Linked DNA regions of Drosophila melanogaster. Changing the gene in region 1 together with any one later gene gives a genetic interaction. Each region holds a gene or a part of one and is shown on either strand. Other genes may lie near its edges. The genes, in order: ND-20 and Vap33.

Region 1 (3,689 bases):
TTTGTGTTATGCCCCGAGTGCGACAATCCGGAGACCAATTTAACTGTGTCGGCCAAAAACCAGACCATTTCGCAGTCTTGCAAGGCATGCGGCTTCCATGGTCTGCTCAAGGTTAACCATAAAGTGAACACATTCATTGTGAAGAACCCCCCGTCATTGAATCCGGCCGCCCAAGGATCATCGCTAACCGAGGGCAAACGCTCGAGGAAACAGAAGCAGAAGAACGATAACGCCGATGGCTCCATGACCAATAACTCTTTGGCCAACAACTCTGGCGGTGAATCAGATGGCGGCAACGGCACAAATCAGGCTAGCCAAACTGAGGCCGAGATTAGCGCAGCTATTCCGGAGAAAACAGCCAAGGATGACGACGATGAGGGATGGAGTGTCGATGTTTCGAAGGTACGTTGTTTAATCCGTATATACTCGCAATTAGCTTAAAGAGCTATTCATATGTATATTACTACTCCACCCCGGTAGGAGGCTATTCGTGCTCGTTTGCAAGATCTGACTGATGGTGCTAAGGGTATGACTATTTCGGATGACTATGATAAAACTGAAAAGGAGCGCATTGATATTTTCTACGAGTTGGTTAAGGACAAGCGGGACAAGAAGCAATTGGATGATGTGCAAACTCACAAGGAGCTGGTGATTGAAGCCGAACGCTTGGATATTATTAACAAGGCTCCATTGGTTCTCGCCGAGCTGCTTTTCACTGAAAACATCATCAAGGACGTGCAGAAGAATCGCCCTTTGCTTCTTCGCTTCACCCTCAATAATCCAAAAGCACAGCGCTATCTAATTGGTGGAGTGGAGCAAACTGTAGAGCTGCATAAGGGTATATTGATGAGCAAGGTTGCTGGAATCTTCAAATTGTTTTATGATCTGGACATACTCGATGAGGCCGTCATACTGGAGTGGGCACAGAAGGTTAGCAAACGACATGTCTCGAAAAATATTGCTGCCGAAATACACGAGAAAGCTATGCCATTCGTTCTCTGGCTGAAGAATGCCGAGGAAGAGTCCTCCGAAAGTGAGGAGGAGGAGGACGATGAATCCGAGGAGGATAACTACGTTTCCAGTGCCGGCCAACGTGGCGGTCAACGGGTCGTCCAACGCGGAATTCCACGCGCTGTTGCAGGCGACGAGGATGACGAGGACGACGTGAACATCGACGATATCTAAAAGGAATCAAAAAGAGAACAGCTACCCTAATCCAACCAGTAATATTTTAAAAGGGGGAAAATCAAGCGAGCAAGCATAATCTACAATTCAAACTGAAATATAAATTAGCGAGTTAAATCAACATGTGGTTTTTTTTATCTTTAGTTCTTAAGAGTGCTAATCGTATTTTGAGTCGTCGCTTTACTACCATTCAATTGTTTGCATAACATTTCCCAAGCCGCTGTAACAATAGAATTACACCAACATATTACAAAATAAAGCAAACAAAAACATTAATAACTACTTTTTTACTTGCCTTTTGGTCAGCTTAAGCTATGACCTTCAAGCAAGTTGATTTTTTTAGCCAACCATTGCGTTCATGTGGGAAAAGGGCATAAAGTTCATGCTGCCGCAAGTGATGTGCTTGTGTGAGAATAGGATATCTAAAGTAAATTCGTATTTTATAGTATATTTTCCTGGTGCATTTGGTATTTTAGTTAGTAGTTCGGCGGCGGTCACATCATACGCATCCCCTATAAATCGAAATAAGTTGAAGTTACATAAATAGGTATTAAATGTTTAAATGCCCAGTCCTAGTATAACTACAGATTTACTTTAGCAGGATCAACATGCTGCGTTCGGCGATGATGTCATCGACCCTGTCCCGGGCTCTCCAAAAGGCGACTCAGACACCGAATGCGTCGATTTCGGCGCTGCCCGCTCTGAATTTGGCCCTGGTGCGCCAACAACAAACGCTTCCAGTTGCCGAAGTGGCCCAAAATCTGCCCAAGAAGGGCTACTCTCCGTTCGGCACCAAACAGTCCTCCGTTGCGGAGTGGTCACTGGCCAGACTGGACGATCTGCTCAACTGGGGTCGCAAGGGCTCGATCTGGCCACTGACTTTCGGTTTGGCCTGCTGTGCCGTCGAAATGATGCACATCGCTGCTCCGCGTTACGACATGGATCGATATGGTGTTGTGTTCCGTGCATCTCCACGTCAGGCCGATGTCATCATCGTCGCTGGCACGCTGACCAACAAAATGGCACCGGCCCTGCGAAAGGTCTACGACCAAATGCCCGAGCCACGTTGGGTCATCTCCATGGGCAGCTGTGCCAACGGCGGCGGCTACTACCATTACTCGTACTCCGTCGTCCGTGGCTGCGATAGGATAATCCCCGTCGACATATACGTACCCGGTTGTCCGCCAACCGCCGAGGCGCTCATGTACGGCGTTTTGCAGCTGCAGAAGAAGGTTAAGCGGATGAAGACGCTCCAGATGTGGTATAGGAAGTAAGGCAACGATCGGAACTTATATTTAAAATGTGAAACATCAAACGACATACGATTTTGCGAACAGAAATCATATTAAATATCGTTCTGTTAACGTTCAGTTGTTGTATACATTGTTTGTTGGATCACGAGGATATTGCAAATAAATGCCTTTCGATATAAATACAAACATTCAAGCTGTGCTTCTGTATCCAAACGTCAGCTTGAATCGTACGTGTGTTTGCCAACGGTCGTAATGAAAATCGTGAATTCGAAAAAAGTTTTGTTTCCCTTCAAAATGAGCGTGAAGTTAACGGCTCCTTCCTCTTTTTTTTATCGTGAATTGTATACACAACCATATCATTTAGTTGTCATAGAAACGATCGCACCAACCACAGGACAATCTGCTGTTTTTACTTAATTTTTCTGTATTCATTTCAAGGTCCTGACGTTTTCGGGACACAAAGTGCAAGAATATAAGCTCAGTTTAAAGTGTTTAAAATAGTTATATTTTTTAATTGGCAGATTTTTTTTTAACGCAACTGCAGAGTAAGCAAACCCTTAAAATACAATTATTCATGCTAACGTCCCAATAAACCCAACGAAAAATACAAAAAGAAATAAATATTTGTATAATTTACATATGCAATATAATTTGACTAGCCATTAACTAGTCTTGTGAATTCTGCCCAAGACTAATCTCCCCCATTTCGGTACTGGAAAGGCTTGGCGACAAGGTCGTGGACCTGGAGTTGCAAGCATTCTCATCCAGATTATAGTAATTCACTATTCGCTGTGGTGGTCGGTTGGAGATGACCTCTACGATTTGATTCACAACCCATTTGGTCAATTTGATGACGGCCACGTGTGCCGCAAACTGCAGGATCATGGCTCCAAAGCCCTTGTAGAGGCCACTAACTCCCTCGGAGACAATCGTTGTCTGATAGCAATCGACGACTCCTTGATAGTTTGTTAGAATGGGTACGACATCGTAGCCATTGTCGAGGTTGTCGATTATAGTTCGTGTTCCCTGCAATTGCAGACGGTGTAGAATCGTTTCGAACGGGAAGAACATGACCTCAGTGGTTATGATAGCAATAAGGCTGGCATAGATGTCCGCATTCTGTTGTTCCAGCGTGGTGTCCTGATACTTTCCACCCTGGCCGTCCTGGGAATTCTTTATACGAAGCCGCATTATGCGTGAGGACACGCCCCGTATCACGAGATTAAACAGATACTTGGTGATGCCAAAGGA
Region 2 (8,162 bases), about 12 Mb from region 1:
ATTGATTTCTCCCACTTGGGCGTGACGCATACTCGCTTCTCGAAGCTATTCTGGCACATAGCTCAGTCTTGTCCCAAGCATGCTGCTTTTCATATTTCCGCCTGTGCCGATAACATCTTGGTGAACGAGCAACTACTTCAAAAGCCGTATGCCTTGCAGTTTACACTCTACCTATATGGCCACCGACAGATCCTCAACGGTCTCTACACGTCAGCGCGACAACTGTGCGTTAGTTTGAAAGACGGACGGTGTCCCTACGGAGAGGATGAGCTTAGGCAGGCGCAAAATAGGTTCCTAGACGCGTGTGCCTACGGTTTGGCCAAGTTTATAGAGCCCATGAACTTGCCCAGCTTGCAGTTAATCTTGAAACTGCTCAAGCAGATTAGTCTGGGTGAAAGCAATCTAATCACCCGAGGCACTGCAGAGTTAAATGCACTCGAAAAGGAGCACCCGAAATTGGAGAACGGAGACGATGCACCAGCTGTCAAGGTGGCCAAGCACTACACATATCTGAATGCCAGCTTGCCAGAGTGGCGTTTGAAACACTGGAAGCTGATCTCGCATGTCATGAAAACCATTGATGCCCTACGCTGGGACTTGGCCACCTTTGAAGATTTCCGGGTGGATAATTTAGAACTGGCGGTGTGGTATTGGCAGGACGGTCTGTCTCATCTGACATTCCTAGGCACTGGTGCGCTCTTATAAATGTAAGTCCAAGACGAAAGCCTACTAATTATTGCTCTTTCACAGAATGCCGCCAGAGGATCTTGAACCAAGTGAACAGTTTAAAGCACAAGGGCTTTTGGCTCATCTACCTTAAAGAAGACACCTTAAAGGACACACGCTCCTTTCTCAAATTGCTAACTCAGTCCAGTGCACAGGAGGCTAACGATCTCTTCAAAAAGCTCCTTAAAAAAAGGGCCGATTGTGCTGTTATGGGCGATCTTAGCGATGCAGTGGTCAAGGTGAACAGCGAGTCCGCTTTCATGGCCTTTAGATTCCTATTTCGAGAATATTTGATCGCCTTCCGGAGCCACGCCAAACACAATAAGACCATCACGAAGCGCCAGCATTGGGATCATTTGATGGCCGTTGTGGCCAAGGCTCCATTCTCCATTCGCAACGAGATTATGAAGCTAGCTAGTAAAGCCTTCGCTGTGCGATTCGGCATAAATATCCAGGAACAGCAGGCGGCCAAGTGTTAAGGAGATGCTGTTAGAAGTGTAATTTTCTTAAGCCAAATCGAAACTCCGCCGCTTGTCCAACACTTTAATTCTTAGGCAGTCAGATCTCTATATGACTAAAAACATATATAATATTCATAACGCTAGGATTGAACATCAGAATAATTTGATATCAGATTATTTTACAACTTTGTATGTCCTTTAAAAGGACGACTGTATGCACATAACAAATGTACCACTACCATGCAAATTTTTTGTCTTACTAAAAATACTTTGGCAAGCAAGTGAAGTTATTCAGCTGAAAATTAATAAAATTTTGCATGTTCTTTTTTTTCGTATTATTATGTATTATATATATAATATACAAAACGCTATGATTGAACATCAGAATAATTTGATATCAGGTTATTTTACAACTTTGTGTGTCCTTAAGGCCGACTATATTTACATAAAATATGTAATACTACCATCAAATACAAATTTGTGTTCTATTAAATAAATGCTTTGGCAAGCTTAAAATTATTGTAATTTTGCATGTTCTTATTTTTATTCGTATTTTTATGTATTACTTCGACTGCTTTGCTTCCTGTTGCAAAATTGTAACTTAAAACTAGGAAAATTTATTTTAATACATTTTTAAATTTCATGTACTCGTTATGTTATAAATTTAACTAATTTATATTCTGTCAAAAGCTGAATGGCATTATTCAGGGAAAGGAAAATTTTGGTGCAAATTGTTATTAATAACATTTTCAAATTACCTAAATAAAAAAAAATAGAAAAAATATCTTGTCTTAAAAAACACTATATATATTTTACAAGGTAATTTAACGACCAATGCTTGACAAGTATCGAAAAGTCGCTAAACTAAAAATATCGATACCCGATGCATCGATATTTTTTTCACATCACTAGCTGACAGAATATATGGCTTTTTTACATTTTGCGTTTTCAACTGAAGTTTGCGAAGAAACCGAAGCGTGGTAAACCACTGAAATCGAAAATATCGACAGAAAAGCGACCTAAAGTCGGTGAAGAAGTCGCACGTTGATCGTTGTGTTTTTTTCCCGAAATTTTCTGCAAAAAGCCCGTGCGTGCGTGAGTTTCTCTGGCTCTTGCTTTTTTTTTGTCCATGCGTGTGTGTGTGGTCGCATAAATTTACCGATATTTCGCCTGTGAGAGCGAAACGAACGAAAAACGAAAGAAAAAAAGAGAGACGAGTAAAGTAAAACGAAACAGGCATAAAAACAGCAGCAGTTTTCTTGATATATTTGGCTAAAAAACGCAAACGTAAGCGAAAAATTTGAAATCCCTCTTTTAATTTAGTTGTGTGCCTGTGTCTCGTATCTATGCGTGCGTCTGCATTTTAATATAATTTTGTGTGCATTTTCTTAACAGCAAACAGCCAGCAAGAACAACAAATAGCTGGGCAAAAACAGGACGCACAAAAAATAAAATTAAAACGATAAGAGGCGAAAAGCGGAGAGAGTGAAATTCTCGGCAGCAACAACGACAAGAACAACACCAGGAGCAGCAGCAACAACAACAACAAAAGCCAGCCGCCACAATGAGCAAATCACTCTTTGATCTTCCGTTGACCATTGAACCAGAACATGAGTTGCGTTTTGTGGGTAAGTTTATTTTACATTATTTTCGCGTTTTTGCGGAAAGGTCGCTGCATATCGACCAAAAAAGCCGATTCACCTCCCATTTCTTGCAAAGAGCAAACTGCAAGTTTCACTTTTTCTCTCTCTCACGCGCACATTTAATCTCCCTCCCTCTACGCTTTCTATTGCCATCTCGCTCGATTGGCTATCAATAATTTCCGTTGTTTTTGTTCTTCCTTTACATACGACACCTTTTATTGTTGTTCTTTTCGGGGTCTACGTGTATCATCGCTCTGCTTCTTTCCGTTTTTTTTCTTTTTTTTTTTTTTGCTTCAGCTCTTTAATGTATTTTATTTTTTGATGCCGGCAGCTGGCGTCGCTCTCTTTCTCACTTGCACTCGCCATCCCTCTCCCTCTTGCTCACTCGTTTCGCGTTTTTGGCTAGCATTATATTTTTATACGCAAAAACTTGTCATGGGCCATTTTAATTTTTTCTTGTCTTTTGGCTCCTTGAATTTTGGCCAAAAAGCAACAGCAGCAGTGACAAAAACAATGCAAAGAGCTCGCACAGTGGGTGCGACAAGTGGCACGGTTGTCATCGCATTGTTATTGAACTCCTGTTGCCAAGCTGCATTTTCCAGTGCATAAACATTTAATTTTTTTCGCGAAATTTTATCACAGTCTCAATTGCAGAACGAAATGTCTACTTAAATGACCAATCATTGTTGATTGCGATCTAGAATAATACACCAATAACCATTCACCATTTGTATTTTGTCTTATTGAAAAAAATTGAGTTAACTTTTCAAGTATTTTGCTATCGCTTCCATTGTGCGCAAATATTTTAATATCTGTGTATGTGTGAGTGAGCCTTAGCCCCATTCTTTTGCAACCCCCTCGCCCACGTTTCCCGTTAGATCGTGAATAGTGCGGTCGGCGAGGGGTGAAAAACACATGCATGACGCGACTTTGTCTAATGAAATTTCCTTGACACACACTTACACCAAAGAAAAACACGCACACGCCATGCTAACAAACAAAAAAAATTCCTTTCGTTAGTTTTTGCCCATTTCCTGGTTTGTTTTGATTTTCTCACCAATGCCTGTTAAAAATGTGACCAAAAAAACTATTTTAGAATGTAAGACCCCGCGATCGATTTCTAGTCGGCTTAAAAGTAATATTCGGAGTAATACTAGCGTTTACTAATCACATTAAATCTGAAATAATTTGAAGTAATTTTTGTAATTTCATAATAGTTTCAAAATAAGTTACACATTTTGGTAGTGAATCCAACTTCAATATGCAGGGTATTCCTCGATATTCAGTTTACTATTCGGTTTTTGTGCCCGTTCTCGATTTTGTTTTGATATTAATTCAATTAATTTGAACTTGCCTCGACCAATGACGCAACGAGCGTGACGCTACACAAAAATCAGGAAGAGTGGGGAAAATCGGGAAAGTAGAGAAATGTGGAAAGTGCGAGTGTTGGGCGCTTTTGGGTTGGGTGGGGCTATCGCCAAAATAGTGTGACTAATCGGGTGCATTCAATATGAAAGGGCGATAATGCCTGTTTTATTTAAAGATCATATCATGAGGAGAAAATCGGAAATCAGAAAATATTAACAATAGGGAAATATGTATGTACATATGCGTTATATGTGCCATGAAATTAATAAGATGTGTTCCTTAAGCTAACACTCATTTTGATATATTCTCGCCTTACAGGTCCCTTCACCCGACCCGTTGTCACAATCATGACTCTGCGCAACAACTCGGCTCTGCCTCTGGTCTTCAAGATCAAGACAACCGCCCCGAAACGCTACTGCGTACGTCCAAACATCGGCAAGATAATTCCCTTTCGATCAACCCAGGTGGAGAGTGAGTATTTCTCAAATGGTATATCGTTACTCTAATAATATCGTTACTTATCCTCGGCATGTACATAGTCTGCCTTCAGCCATTCGTCTACGATCAGCAGGAGAAGAACAAGCACAAGTTCATGGTGCAGAGCGTCCTGGCACCCATGGATGCTGATCTAAGCGATTTAAATAAATTGGTAAGGGGAAACGAATAGGACTCTTAATGATGGCATAGTGTGTATATTACTTTTCTAATCAACGTCCTATTCTACACCCGCAGTGGAAGGATCTGGAGCCCGAGCAGCTGATGGACGCCAAACTGAAGTGCGTTTTCGAGATGCCCACCGCTGAGGCAAATGCTGAGAACACCAGCGGTGGTGGTGCCGTTGGCGGCGGAACCGGAGCTGCCGGAGGCGGAAGCGCGGGTGCCAATACTAGCTCAGCCAGCGCTGAGGCGCTCGAGAGCAAGCCGAAGCTCTCCAGCGAGGATAAGGTATGTTAAGTCGAACAGGCAAAACCTTTCTAATGGCATAATAAATAACGCTAACATATTACCCAGTTTAAGCCATCCAATTTGCTCGAAACGTCTGAGAGTCTGGACTTGCTGTCCGGAGAGATCAAAGCGCTGCGTGAATGCAACATTGAATTGCGAAGAGAGAATCTTCACTTGAAGGTAAGCCAATTCCATTATGACTCTTCATTTTTTCTGTGTTTTGAGTAGTGCAATGTCGAAGTTACTGCTACCTAAGGGAGTTCCTCAGCAGTATTATCAAGATGTCTTCAATATTGAATATTCAGTTTTGTTCGCAATCGGTTAGAATGAGTCGATTCAGCCATAAGGAGAAGCAGGCCTCTGACTTTTTTCAAATTATAGGCTGTACGCGATGATCTCAAAATTGATATGAAAATTAATGACACTATTAGTGACAATTTCTTGCATTAGGTTGCTGTGGTGTACTAAAAATAATCAGCCTTTAAATATAAGTAAATCCAATTTGGTAATTCCAAGAATAATGCAAATAATGATCTGTTGTGCCTGGGAGTTTTCTGCGCGCTTGATATATAATTATTGTTATTATACAATAACTCGGTTCAGTTGGGGTGCTGATTTGTTTTCGAGTTCAAAAAAGAATACATAGGATAAATATTTTGTAAGTAGCCAGATAAGGATCAATCTATCCATTTGTGTAAATTAATAAATTTCTCAACCATTTGCAGGATCAAATCACACGTTTCCGGAGCTCGCCGGCCGTCAAACAGGTGAATGAGCCCTATGCCCCAGTCCTGGCTGAGAAGCAGATTCCGGTCTTTTACATTGCAGTTGCCATTGCTGCGGCCATCGTTAGCCTCCTGCTGGGCAAATTCTTTCTCTGAATGCCATAAACGAACGCCAGCAACATGCTACATGCAACGTGCAGCAACAGTAACAGCAAGAACAGCGGCAACACCATCATACAGCAACAGCAACAACAAAAGCAAAAGCAGCAGCAGCAGCAGCAACTAACAATAGCAACAACAACGAAAGAAGAACAGCAGCAGCAGGAGCATTAAAATAAATTTAATTGGCAGAAGAAACAAACCACAGAGACGAATGTAAAGCTGACTAAACCGGGGACCGTATACATTTAAACGGTTGTATTGAAAATCAAAAATAATCATTGTTTGTTAGCGAAACAAGTATCGCTCAGAATAGTATGGATTATGATGTGAGAAATATTGTTTGGTTCCAACATATTGCTCAAAGACAGATTGGCAGTTCTTGTTTTTAATACGAATCTTAACGAGACTTAAGTGTAAAGCATTCGAAACAATTTTAAGCTGTATTGACGCTTCGTGTATTTCAACCAAAAATATTTAAGTTTTTGCAAGATCTCGCTTGAATTAGTCGCAACCGGACTTTGAGTAATAAGAACATTTGGGCCCTATGAAATCCCTCACATCATAATCAATACTTAAAAAAAAGAAAACATAACGAATGATTACTTTTGGTACCTGGGCTAAACAAAACAAAAAAAAAAAAAAAAAACAAAAAAAAAACCGCAGAGAAAGGGAAAAATAGAAGAGACGTAAAATCGTATTTTCGCAAGGGGGAACATCTCTCAAGAACTCTTTAAAATCCGCTAAGATCCATACGTATATTTGCTCAGATTTTCGATTGCATTTTTTCGCTATTATTAATTTGTAAGAACTTAAGTTTAAAATGCCTCACAATTCGTTTTAATAATTTTTCGATGCATTTGCAAACGGGAAAAGTCAAGTATTTCAAAGAATAACAAAAATTATCATTAATCATACCTTCTCGACGAAACTAAAAGAAAAACCAATTTGTTACTTGAGTGCGAGAATAAACTTCAGTTTTATCAATTTTTTTTATTATTTGCTTTCTTTTTGTTAATTAATTTTTTGCAGCCACATAGACCTAGATGTAAAATTTAAATCGAAAACAGAAACGCAAATGTCAAGAAAAAAACATTTAGCAAAATGCAACAAAAATTAAGAAGAAACACTTGTATGGAAAACCAATCAATGAAAAGCTTCAAAAAATAAAAAAATAAAAACAACAATGCTCTGCAAGGCCGACGCTCTCTAAGAAAGAAAAGTTGCTTCACCTCACCCCTCGTCCCATCACTCTTTCTCATTCTCAACCGTCTGTCCCTCTCTAAATCCCGAAACGAGATCGAACGCGGACGGCGGCTCTATATATACATATTTATATATAATCATTATTGTTTTGGTTGGCATTTGCATTTACTAAGTTTCGTTTTAGTCACTTCAGTGGTTACATTACTACACACATACACACCACTCAATGAACGCTATATATATATATATATATATAGATATATATATATTATATGAATATACTAAATTTCTGTAAGCAAACCTTTATGTAATTTGTGTTGTTTGCCAAGGTCGAATTGAACGATTTCCAGCCCAAATGGCACCGAAATTGAGAAAATCCATCAACTGTATCCGACACGCCGATATATATACGATCTAATAAGTGCAAAAAAAAAATCAATCAATTTTCTAAAAAAGAAAACACAAAAAAAAAAAGGAACGAAAAAACCTTTACTAGAAGCAAAACAAACGCGTGTTGTTCATGGTTTACACTGCACCCGTGGATCCATAGATTTGGATCCATAGATACACCCACCCACCCACTTGGTTCCTTTCGTAGCGCCTACTATTTGCTGGCGATGCATCTTGTTTCACACAATTGTTTCCCCAACACATTTCATTGCTATTGTTCGTGGTTACGACTTTTTTTATATAGTTTGCAAAGCATTGAAAAGGGTATATAGATTTATACATGAATATATATTCGCCGACATGCATGATCGCTGTAATTTCATAGGCATGTGGAAAACTCGTATTTAAATGTTTAACTAGAAATACAGAAAAGAAAAGAAAAAATAAACTAAAAATAAATAAAAGGAAATGTGGAAATAAACAAATGATAAAGACAAAAGCAAATCATAAGCAAATTGTACTTGATGTCAGCTGTAGCA

The links.
Region 2: of ND-20 (region 1) and Vap33, changing one suppresses a phenotype caused by changing the other (phenotypic suppression), as found in Drosophila melanogaster (one study listed by BioGRID).

What each region holds. Positions count from the first base shown.
Region 1 is NC_004354.4:15,984,781-15,988,469, reverse strand, and holds ND-20 (NADH dehydrogenase (ubiquinone) 20 kDa subunit), read left to right. Parts: upstream 1-1,661; 5' UTR 1,662-1,732; exon of another isoform or gene 1,733-1,786; 5' UTR 1,787-1,793; coding exon 1,794-2,459; 3' UTR 2,460-2,997; downstream 2,998-3,689. Other genes in the region: eIF5 (eukaryotic translation initiation factor 5), read left to right, coding at 1-402, 481-1,185; Slc25A46a (solute carrier family 25 member 46a), read right to left, coding at 3,105-3,689.
Region 2 is NC_004354.4:3,946,899-3,955,060, forward strand, and holds the start of Vap33 (VAMP-associated protein 33kDa), read left to right. Parts: upstream 1-2,076; 5' UTR 2,077-2,474; intron 2,475-2,582; 5' UTR 2,583-2,751; coding exon 2,752-2,815; intron 2,816-4,516; coding exon 4,517-4,669; intron 4,670-4,737; coding exon 4,738-4,847; intron 4,848-4,930; coding exon 4,931-5,143; intron 5,144-5,209; coding exon 5,210-5,323; intron 5,324-5,868; coding exon 5,869-6,024; 3' UTR 6,025-8,162. Other genes in the region: Gem4c (gemin 4c), read left to right, coding at 1-691, 751-1,205.